Coturnix japonica: one gene and its partners. The protein of the gene in region 2 interacts with the protein of the main gene of each other region in a biochemical or structural test. Links are inferred from orthologs where the notes say so. Each region holds a gene or a part of one and is shown on either strand. Other genes may lie near its edges.

The links.
Region 1: the proteins of BTK (region 2) and SH3BP5 form a complex in vitro, tested with the Homo sapiens proteins (2 studies listed by BioGRID, with this or other methods). The link is inferred for Coturnix japonica from reciprocal best matches to the Homo sapiens genes BTK and SH3BP5.
Region 3: the proteins of BTK (region 2) and IBTK form a complex in vitro, tested with the Homo sapiens proteins (2 studies listed by BioGRID). The link is inferred for Coturnix japonica from reciprocal best matches to the Homo sapiens genes BTK and IBTK.

What each region holds. Positions count from the first base shown.
Region 1 is NC_029517.1:38,179,046-38,182,694, forward strand, and holds part of SH3BP5 (SH3 domain-binding protein 5), read left to right. Parts: intron 1-431; coding exon 432-596; intron 597-3,649. UniProt on the Homo sapiens protein: Functions as a guanine nucleotide exchange factor (GEF) with specificity for RAB11A and RAB25. Inhibits the auto- and transphosphorylation activity of BTK. Plays a negative regulatory role in BTK-related cytoplasmic signaling in B-cells.
Region 2 is NC_029519.1:1,979,264-1,982,912, forward strand, and holds part of BTK (tyrosine-protein kinase BTK), read left to right. Parts: coding exon 1-37; intron 38-226; coding exon 227-292; intron 293-806; coding exon 807-888; intron 889-2,279; coding exon 2,280-2,408; intron 2,409-2,517; coding exon 2,518-2,585; intron 2,586-3,032; coding exon 3,033-3,214; intron 3,215-3,349; coding exon 3,350-3,412; intron 3,413-3,555; coding exon 3,556-3,610; intron 3,611-3,649. UniProt on the Homo sapiens protein: Non-receptor tyrosine kinase indispensable for B lymphocyte development, differentiation and signaling. Binding of antigen to the B-cell antigen receptor (BCR) triggers signaling that ultimately leads to B-cell activation.
Region 3 is NC_029518.1:71,346,887-71,350,535, forward strand, and holds part of IBTK (inhibitor of Bruton tyrosine kinase), read left to right. Parts: intron 1-819; 5' UTR 820-892; exon of another isoform or gene 893-1,142; 5' UTR 1,143-1,167; coding exon 1,168-1,491; intron 1,492-3,649. UniProt on the Homo sapiens protein: Acts as an inhibitor of BTK tyrosine kinase activity, thereby playing a role in B-cell development. Down-regulates BTK kinase activity, leading to interference with BTK-mediated calcium mobilization and NF-kappa-B-driven transcription.

The DNA of each region.
Region 1 (3,649 bases), on a different chromosome or scaffold from region 2:
ACAGCAGTGTGAAACTCCAAAACATTTCCTCAGTGTGATTAATGGTGCACTGATAAAAATCTACCCTGACTGAAGTGAGGGAGTGCCTTTCTCAACGCATTCGTGACATGCTACAAGTTTACTGCATTCTTCTTTTTCTTTTGTTTCTCAGTGATTAAGCCTATTGCATCAGTTATTAATCTCTCAGCTGGGTGCTTGTTTGTAGGCCAGCAGCTCTGCAGTTTTGACTGTGAACGTCATTTGGCAGTTCCTTGCAAATTACCTGTTTGGGTGGAACAGGTAATGTCTTAGCAGTATTTACCCCAGTGAGCAAATATGTGTCAGTTCTAAGCAAACAGTTGGGAAACAGTAATGCTGGAGTAGGTGTTTTTAGAGTCTTGGAATTAACCTGGTAGATCCTTTGTCTCTAATCCTTATATTTCCATTTTTAGGCACAGCTGGAAGCCCAGAGAGCGACTCAGGATTTTCAGAGGGCGACTGAAGTGCTGCGTGCCGCAAAGGAGACTATTTCACTTGCTGAGCAGAGGCTTCTAGAGGATGACAAACGTCAGTTTGACTCTGCCTGGCAAGAGATGCTCAACCATGCTACGCAGAGGGTAATAGAAACACCGGGATGCTTTTCCGTGTTCAGTTTTCTTCTTTGAGATGTGATGCAAGTTTGTGAAGCACATTTTTTTTTATATCGGTCCAGACATATGACCTGTAGGAAATGAATCTACAGAAAATTATCAAGCCTGAGGTTAAATGATTTGGGCCATGGGCTCCTACTGGCACAAACTATAGCTTTCTATCTGACTTTGCTAGTAGGTAGGGGAGTGGCTCTTGCTTAAAAAAAGAATAATAATAAAAAATCACCATTAGTTTAACAGGGGTGAACAGCATCCCTGGGAATATTTGCATTTAAAGCCATGCAAAAATAATTGCATTGGGATGGCTTAATTGCATGGGGATGGCTATTCCTAAGTGTATGTGTTGCTGAAACTGACCATGGAGTACCAGGGATGTGTTCCAATGTAGTGTCACCTATTTTCAGCACGACGTTAGTTTCAGCAAGGCATTTTTGTCTGGAGTGTATCTGCATGTGGAATTACTAAGCGTGTGTTGCATTTTAAGCTTGCACACTTCTGTTATAAATTTACTTTCAAATTTAGAAAGGATCTTACCTTCCTGGTAAGGTCTTTTTAAGTCTACAGAGAAGATGCAGCAACAGTGAAAGGCAGTATTCATTTTTAGCAGCTGTCAAGAATTTTCCTGTCATTTGCCTTCTCTCTTTTTCCTTACCTGTTAAATATGCAGAAAGGTGTTGTGGTTTTCTTCTCTTTCTTTTTAACATGAAAAAACCCAAAATCTAAGTTGAAATCCTTTGTTCTGTCAGAGTTCCCCTGATATGTCAGTGAAGCTGAACTTGCTATTCCAAGCGTGGGGAGCGTGTCGTACAATGCTGGCGTTGTCTTGCAGTCTTCAATGCAGTAGCTTTGTTCTGTTGCAGAAGCTTCTTGGTTATAAGAAAACCTCTATTTCAGACTGAATTCTGAAACCAGCTGCCAGATGACGAAACAGAGAACAAAAAGGATGTTGGCTGTGTTGGGGAGAGATGGAAAACCCGGTATAAACTAAAACATGAATAATTAAAAAACGCACAGAAATCCGCTGGGGAGTAGTTGGTGTTACTGTCCCTGTCATTAAGTATTTGCAGATCTGGTAACCTCTGCGTTTCTGAACCCAGCTTTGCAGTGTGTTTGCCAAGACACCAACAGCTGTTGTTTTTTCCTTGGCTGTTATCCCTGTTTCATGTGAGTGAGGTCCAGAAATGCATACGCTATTTTTTTTTTTTATCCTCAGAGTAGATAGATGAGGAAGAAATAGAAGCTCCTAAGGAGTTGCTTAGAGTTTCTCTAAGGAGTTGCTGAGATGATTGAGAGCAGCCAATCAGCTGGCTCCCTCTAGCAGGCAGGAGAGAAGAAATGCTGGCAATTTTCAGGGTTTAAATGGATTCCTCCTTTCCTTGGATATCCTTAAGGAATTCCTGTGTCCTTCTGCAGCCCTTAATTGTTCTCAGACATCCTGCAGCCAAGACGAGCATGCCTGAGATTTCCAGACTTGGTGACTTAGAGCAGAAGAGGACTTCTCACAGTGTTTGGTGGAGCTGATGGTGTTTGCATGTACTGTCACTGAATGCAAGAGGTCTCCTTGTCCGGTCTGAGGACTGACTGAAACAGTGACTTCTCTGATGGTTGCAGCTGAACAGAACATAGGAGCCTTGTGTTTGCTCTGATGTAAAATCTCCTAGGCACAGATTGATCTGTGTAGAGCAGCTGAGGACTTACTGGATAGGCAGTGTGTTACCCTACTCTTTATGGTACTGAAAATAGTCTGGGTAAACTCAGATCCCAGAAAGCACATATCTTTGCCTTTCCAGGATACTGCATGTTTGGAAAGAAGTACATGGAAGTTTTCCTCCTGATTTTCATTAACCCTTTTAGCGATGTTGAGGATAGAGCCAGAGCCAACAAGGGTAAAGAAAACAACAACAATAAACAAAAATGTCTTGACTGGAAAAGCCTGGCAGTGGTTTGTTTGGAATACTGTCTGCGTTTCAGTCTTCTTTAAAAGCCGAGTGAATATGTTCTTCATTTCAGTGCATGCAATTAGTGAGGTTCTTAGGGTTCATTGAGGTACACAAACTACCATCAGTCAACCAGCACTCTGTTTCCATGTGGAAAGTCACTCTTGGAGAAGCTTTTTGCAGCCGTTGGGCTGCTCTTTTTTGGATTAGCTTTTTTTTTTTCCTTTATTTTTTTTGCCTATAACTGTAAATTACATCTATTGGACAGAGCATAATCTTGCACTGTGCCTTGTACAGCAATGAATCAAGTGCCAAACAGCATCTCTGGGCCAAATGTCAGAAGTGAGTTACTAATTCATTTGTTTCTATATTGGTAGAAACGAGAGGCAAGAGCGGAGTGTTTTTATTTGCCCTTCCTAGGCAGCAGTAGCAGACTCTATTGAATTAATTCAAAATTTGGAACAAATCCGAGCCCTAAAGCAGCTTGGTAGCTGACAGACAGTGCAGAGAACATAAGGAAAAGGGATAGGCAAGAGGACAAATCAGACACATCTTTATTTGTATAATCTTGTATGGAAATAAATCCTGGTTGCTTTTCCACTTAACCTAATGGATGCGAATGAAGACTTGAACTGCAAAGTACCTATTAGGAAATGCTGTTTGCAGATCTTGGTTGAAAAGAAATGGAGCTGAGGGCTGCACAGTGTAACTGCCTTTTGATTTCTCCATGGTTTGAAAAGATACTGTCACATTGAAAATAAGCGCTACTGGTATAACAGGATAATGTCAACAAGCCTTTTGTAGCCACTGAAATAGAGAAATCATCTGTGTAACTGTTTAGAAATGCAAGTGTTGGTGAAGATCTTCATCTCCTGGATGGGTCAGAAGCATAACATGTGGGAGATGTGTCTATATGCAGAGCAGACAACCAGCATGAGTAGGTACCGGGAGTACAGGTTGTCAGTCGGTATTTGGGTTTTGGGTGTGGGAGTCTTCCCTGTCTGTCGGTACCTGGAGTTGGTGGCACAGGTGGCCAGTGAAAGGAGGGATGAGGGGCAGAGATCTTTGCATTTATAATTATGT
Region 2 (3,649 bases):
GCCCGAAAACAATCCTCCTCCTGAGCGGCAGGTCCCGGTGAGCGTCCCTGCTGCTGTCCCCTGTACTCTCTTTGGGGCAGTGCTGTCTGGTATGGAGCTCTGTGCACACAGTCCAAACTATACTGATGTCCAGCCCAACACAGAGCACGGGGCAGGAGAAAGGCAAGGGCTGTGGGAGCAGCTGAGCTGCAGGATGTCAGTGTCCATCTTTCCCTCTCTCTTCCAGAGGAAAGGGGAGGATTACAACATGGAGCAGATCTCCATCATTGAGCGGTTCCCCTACCCCTTTCAGGTTAGTTCTCATCGTGCTCACTTCACCTTTCTGCTTCAGCTGGCTGCAGGGTAGGAGCTGGCATTGCAGCAGGGGTGAGAAGAGCAGGGGGACATGAGGATAAGCACAGCATCATTTTGGGGACACCCTGCTGCTGTGTGGGGCAGGCTGATGAGCCTTCATGGGCAGTGAGGAATCGGGCGGCTCTCTGGAAAAGGAGATGGATGCTGGCCCTGAGCTTTGTCCTGCCATTTTTGGTCCCCTGGCCAGTCCTGGAGGGATGGATGCTCTTTGCTCACTCAGCCCCCAGCCCAGTTGCTCGTGCTCACTGGCACCCAGCACAATGAAAGTTAGAGAAGGAAGTGGAAAGTCTCAGGGGAAGGGGCTTATTTATAACGTCTCTGTCATGGTTCCATGAGCACCACGGGGCCAGCACACAACGGCACGGCTTTTGCTCCGGGTGGCTGCAAGCCTCTGCTCTCCTATTTCCCCCCATGAGCCATGGCCTGGTGCTGAGCACGTTGGTGTACTACAGGTGGTGTATGACGAGGGGCCCCTCTATGTCTTCTCCCCGACAGAGGAGCTGCGCAAACGCTGGATCCATCAGCTGAAGAGCGGTGAGTTTTGGGGCACCTGGCTGCACATGCGGTGTGACTCAGAGCGCTGGGTTTCCGGGGGCTTGCTGCCTCGTGGTTACGATATCCCATATCTGCGGAGGAGAGAGCTCTATCAGAAAGTGCTCCCATGACGAGCAAAGTCATAAGGCTATTCCCCTGCTTGCATCATTTGTACCATCCCTGTGCTAGCGTGAGCCTGGGGAGAGGGGGCACTCACCTCCTACTTATTCCTACAGCATTGTCTGAGGTATTTTGCCATCCCACAAACCTGCTCCAGAGCAGTTCAATCATCTTCAGAAGTCGCTGAGAGCAGGAGGAAATGGCAGATGTGGCCACAGAGCTCCACCAAGGGGAGGGTAGAGCCCCCATTGCATTAGGAAGGAAATGTGGACAAAAAGTGTATTAGGAGCCCAGCAGCATCTCTGAGCTCATTCCAAGCTCCATGTGGTGTTGCTGAGCTGATGCTTTGCTGAGGAGCTGCTCTCTCCTCGAGCTGTGAGCTCCTTGCTGCAGCACTTAACAGAGGGGCTGAGCTGTTTGTGGTCAGCCAAAATCTGATGGAGCTGCCTGTGTGTGTGTGTGTGTGTATCTTTCTGTTGCTTTATGCTGGTGGGGTTAGATTAGCTGCTCACATTGACACAGGGAAGTTTGCCTGAGCAAGGAGGAAGCAGAGCGGGCTGATAACAGGGAAGTCAGTTATCTCACAAGAGCCCTGCTGTTCTGCCTAGCTGCCAGCCCCACTTCCCCACTCCAGGAGGATGGTGTGGTGGCAGTGGAAGCCATTGCAGGATCTGCAGGGAAAGAGAGAGAGAAATACTGGCTGTTTGCTGCCGGGATGCCCACATCCTGCTTCCTGGAGAGACAGGGCTCTCTGCAGGCAGTGGAGATAGTGTGGGCCATCATGCTGAGGTGGCATTTAGGCACATCCAGGTGTCCCACAGCGTGGGGATGAGCAGCAAGAAGTCTGGGAGCAGTCCCCAGCAAGGAAGGCTGCTGAGCAGGCAGGGGATGGTAGGTGCATCTTGCTCTGCCCACAGGAAAACCAGGTCCAGCACCAAAGGCTCAAAAGCCCTGTGAGTTGTGGACCTCAACAGACAGCCTGGGGGATGCTGGACATGCAGGAGGACTGGCTGCAGCAGGACCTGGCCCTCCAGATGTGCTCATGTCCTTTTGCAGAGCTGCTGAATAGCTTTGATCAAATCTGAGAGGGAAGGGCTGGCCCTCCCCTGGCTAGCAGCTTGATGGCACAGAGGCAAGAGCAGCTAGCTGGTGGAAACCCAAGCAGCAGGGCCATGTAATTGTGTGTCAGTGGGAAAGCAGGGAGTGAAATAATTTACTAGGGCTGATCATCTGCATTTGGAGTCACACGCATCTCCCCTCCTTGGCTGCAGTTATCCGATACAACAGCGACTTGGTGCAGAAGTACCATCCCTGCTTCTGGATCGATGGCCAGTACCTGTGCTGCTCCCAGACAGCCAAGAACGCCATGGGCTGCAAGATCCTGGAGAGCAGGAATGGCAGTAAGACACTGGGCACCCTCCCCTTGCCCATTGCCAGCCCTGGTGATCACTTCCCACCTGCCCACCACAGGTAGGGATCTGTGCTCACCTTTGTTTTTGTGTTGTGGAGGTTTAAAAGCTGGGCGGTCACATCGCAAAACAAAGAAGCCTCTTCCCCCCACTCCTGAGGAGGACACGGTAAGGACCAGTGAACATGGGTTTGCTCCAAAGTGTTTAAAGAGAAGTCTGCAGAATTTTACAGACCAGAACTTGGCTTTGGAGGGGGATGTCAAATTAGAGCCCAAGGGGGCTTGAACCAGGGGATGGAGCCCAAAAAGCTGAAGGAACATTTAATGATCTCACCTTGAGGGTCCCCAGGGGGAGCTGAGAAAGAGAGTAACCCTGATACAGGATAAAGACCAAAGGTTCAGGGGAAAAATCTTAGCTTTGGTGAAGACAGGACTCCAAGAAGGAAATATGGCTGTAAAAAAACTCTGGGATGGGTCAGTCTCTTGGTGGAATTCAATGTGGGAGCTGAGATGGAATGCTGTGCTAACCTGGCCAGGCTTGGGGAGGGACTTTGCCCAGGAAACAGCATGCCTGCCAGCCTCACCGTGTTCCTTGCTCTCCCTTGCCGTGAGGAAGATGGTGATGAAGCCCCTGCCCCCTGAGCCAGCCCCCAGTGCAGCAGGCGAAATGAAAAAGGTGGTGGCCCTGTACAACTACGTGCCAATGAATGTGCAGGACCTGCAGCTGCAGAAGGGTGAGGAGTACCTCATCCTGGAGGAAAGCCACCTGCCCTGGTGGAAAGCCCGTGACAAAAATGGGTGAGAGCTCCCACTATCCATGGCATTCACCCTGCAGCTGTGTTCTATCCCAGCACTGCTCCCAGGGCAGCCCCAGGGACCCCCACCTCACACTGGGGAATCCCAACTGGTCTCAGACTCTGTTTTCTCTTGCAGAAGGGAAGGATACATCCCTAGCAACTATGTCACCGAAACCAGCAATTCCCTGGAGATTTATGAGTGAGTAGGAGAAAGTGTGGCGATCTGGCAAGTTGTGCTCAGTTGGAGACCTTTTACATCCTGTTCTGGGTCAGGATCAAGCCAGGATGTGAACAGGGCTGGCCTGGGGGTCGCCCTGATAGTTGTATCCCTCCCTGTTCCAGGTGGTACTCAAAGAATATCACTCGGAGCCAAGCAGAGCAACTGCTGAAGCAGGAGGTAAGTGTTGACTCCCAGGTCTGGGTCTTCTACGCACAT
Region 3 (3,649 bases), on a different chromosome or scaffold from region 2:
TTCATGAAATACATGCCAGAGATGGATATGCTGAAGTGTATTAAGCACATTCATAATAGTTGTGCATTAAAGTTCACATATTTAAATATGCATGGATGTGCTCCCTATCCAATCCACAACTTCATGTCTTCCTACCAGTTCCAGGAGCTTTACACCTTTATCTTGTGGGCAGCCAGCAATCTGAATTCTTGTGTGTACAGATTGCTTTTCTTGCCCCTTTTGCTGTCCTTCCTCTCACATGTCAGTAGCTCTGGAAGTGGTCAAAGGGACCTTGCTGTTCATTCTGCAGAAGAGACTTAGTAGGGCGAGGGTGGGCTCCGGGGCCAGGAAGAGAACCCTAAGCTTAATCCTTTATTGCAGAGGCAAAGGGAAACTGGTGGTTATCCTCCTCCAGGGCAAGATTGACAGAGCCAAGATGTATTCAATACCTGCTTGAGTTTCTTTAGTTTTGGTTATTTTTTTTCCTTCTGTTCAGTCCTTGCTTCCTAATAAACTGTTGGGGTCCTGAGGTGGTTCCTTCCCGGGAAAGGAAGTTGTTGTTGTTTTTTAGTTTACCTGTTTTTTTTCCTGGTTCATCATGTAGTCTCAAAGAAGGGGAGGAGTTACCTTCCAAGGCTGGGGTGGGGAGGGGATTCATGGCTTTTTAGACTGGCTAAATGCCTGACAGTAAGCTCAAATGGCATTAGACAAGTCAGTTAACCCTTGCTACTTTACGCCTGCACTTGTAAGCTCTAGTATGATATGCATTTAACTTTGTGCAGTTGATGGGGGAAAAGTTATTTTTATTGACTAATCTGTTCTGTTTTGTTCTTTTTTCAGGTCTCCCTTGCAATTATGGAGTTTTAGAAGAATAAAGGAGTGTGGAGGGGGAATCCCCCTCTCCACACATAAGGTAGTCGGTTCACTTCAGAATTTTCTATGGACAACAATATTTGTTATATATGATGGTGAAATAAGACTATTTAAAATATATATTTTTAAGTATTTATTTGGATCAAGTGCCAAATATAACATTACACAGATTTCTGATGGCAGCTCAATAAAACTGGATTTACATCTTTGGAATTACAAATTTTTTGAAGGCACTGTGTTGCATACTGAGTTGGAGTGCCTTGATATTCTTAATGGTTGTTCCCCTTAAGGAGAGGAGCAGCTTCCGAAGTGAAGATGAATTCTCTCCTGCCAGACTGCACTTCTAAGTGTCGATCTCTACAGCATGCTTTGGATGTTATTTCTGTAGTAACCAGAGGAAGTGAAGGCCAGATCAAAGCCTTTCTTTCTTCTTACTGCTACAACGCTGCAACTATAAAGGATGCCTTTGGTAGAAATGTTCTACATCTTGCTTCATCCTGTGGCAAGAAAGGTGTGCTGGACTGGTTGGCTGAGACCAAAGGAGTGGATCTCTTGGCGAAAGACAAGGAGTCTGGATGGACAGCTTTGCACAGAAGTATATTTTATGGATACATCGACTGTGTTCTGTCGCTACTGAAGGTGAGTATTTGCAACTGCAGTTTTTCTTGGAATTTGTGAGTTTTTGAGTGGTCTCAGTCACTTGAAAGTGAGTGGTTTTAAAACATGAGTGAAAGCCTCTTGAAGGTTATCTTAGCACTGTATTTAGATCATAGTGCACTGATATACTTGAAATTTGTCTTTGTATTCCTAAAATATATCTGTCTTTGCCCACTAAGAAATAAGTTCTGAGTAAGAGTCCCCAGTCAGTTGTGGACTTCCCTGAAAGACTGGTTTCACAGAATCACAGAATTGTAGGGGTTGGAAGGGACCTCCAGAGATCATTGAGTCCAACCCCCCTGCCAAAGCAGGTTCCCTACACCACGTCGCACAGGTAGGTATCCAGTCGGGTCTTGAATGTCTCTAGAGAAGGAGACTCCACCATCTCCCTGGGCAGCCTGTTCCAGTGCTCCATCACCCTCACCATAAAGAAGTTCTTGCGCACATTCATGTGGAACTTCCTGCTGTAGTTTCATCCCATTACCCCCAGTCCTGTCCCCACTCACTACTGAAAAGAGACCAGCCTCACCACTATGGCCCCCACACCTCAGGAATTTATAAACCTGGATCAAATCCCCTCTCAGCCTTCTTTTCTTAAGGCTATACAGACCCAGTTCACTTATTCTCATTTCATTTATATTTTAACCAGGGCTTCCACTTGGTTCCCTTTGTTCCTTCCTTGTTATATTGCTGCTTCTTCCCCTCCTCTTAGCAAGTTGTTTTTCATTTTTACTTCCTCCTTCTTCTGTTCCTCCAGTCCAGAGTAGAGCAACAGGAAGATCTGCATTTGATTGAGATGTTCAGGCTCCTTTTAGCCAAATATTTGTGGTTCAGGATGACTTAAAGCAAACTTTAAGGCAAAGTCTTTTGCATTTTGAGTTCAGCTTTCTAACATTGCGGTGACTAGCAATTTGTAAGCATTAAACTCTCTGCTTTCAAGAAGCAGTTTGAACAAAGTAGATGTGGATCCAGTAGTTCTTAATTATTGGAAGTGTGATAACTGATAAATATGCATTTCATGTGTTGTACTCCTGCATAGTGAGGAGGTTTTCTTTAAGCTTTCCAAAAGTAAATGTTTTTATGAGAATTGTAGGTGGTTCTGTTCTGTATAAAACTGGAAGCTGTATATGTGATGGTTGAGAAGGTATTGAATCCTCTAGTGTGTGTATGTGTCTCTGTGGCTTTGATATTTGCTTACAGGAGGCTGTTAGTGTTTTTCCCAAATGTGTTTTTTTATCAGTTGCATGACTATGTGAGGTTGTTATGATAGGTGGCTCTGTTGGTATTCCTCTTAGAAGAAAAATGAGTCATGGAGAGTGCTCTACCTTCTAGTTTCCTAACTCTCGCTCTGCTATGCAGTGTTATTAAAAGCATGTGTTCTTAAAAGCATGTGTTATAGATCATAGTTATGAAATAGCTGAGCTAGAAAGGGACCTTGGAGCAATTGGCTAGTCTGCACATCTGTACTTCAATGTTTTAACACCAGTTCAGTTAAAGTGTTTATATGTTTAAATGGAACTTCCTGTGTTTAAATTTGTACCCATTGCAGCTATACCTGTCACTGGATACCACTGATAACCCGTCTTGTTATGTATATGTATATGTATATAAATATATATATATATATACATATATATTTATTATACATACACACACACACACATATATATTTATATACATACACACATATATATACATATATATATACATATATATATGTGTGTGTATGTATATAAAATATCTACAGTCAACAAGAAGGGTCAAAAGGAAGACTTAGGGAGCTACGGGTCTGTCATGACTGAGGAATGTCATGGAACAGATAGTTTTGACTGTGATTTTATGGTGTGTGCAAGGACAGCCAGGAAATCAGGCTCAGCCAGTGTGGATTCATGAGAGGCAAGTCCTGCTTGATTAACTTGATTTCCTTCTGTGAGCAGATGATCCGTCTAATGGATGAAGGAAAGACTGTGAATGTAGTCTATGTAGACTTTAGTAAGGCCTTTGACTCTGTCTCCTGTAGTATTTTGCGAAGCTGTCTGGCTGTAGCTTGGACAGGTACAGTTCTTGCTGAGTAAAAAACTGGCTGGGTGGCCAGGCCCAGAGAGTGGTGGAGAATGGAGTTAAATCCAGCTGGTGACTG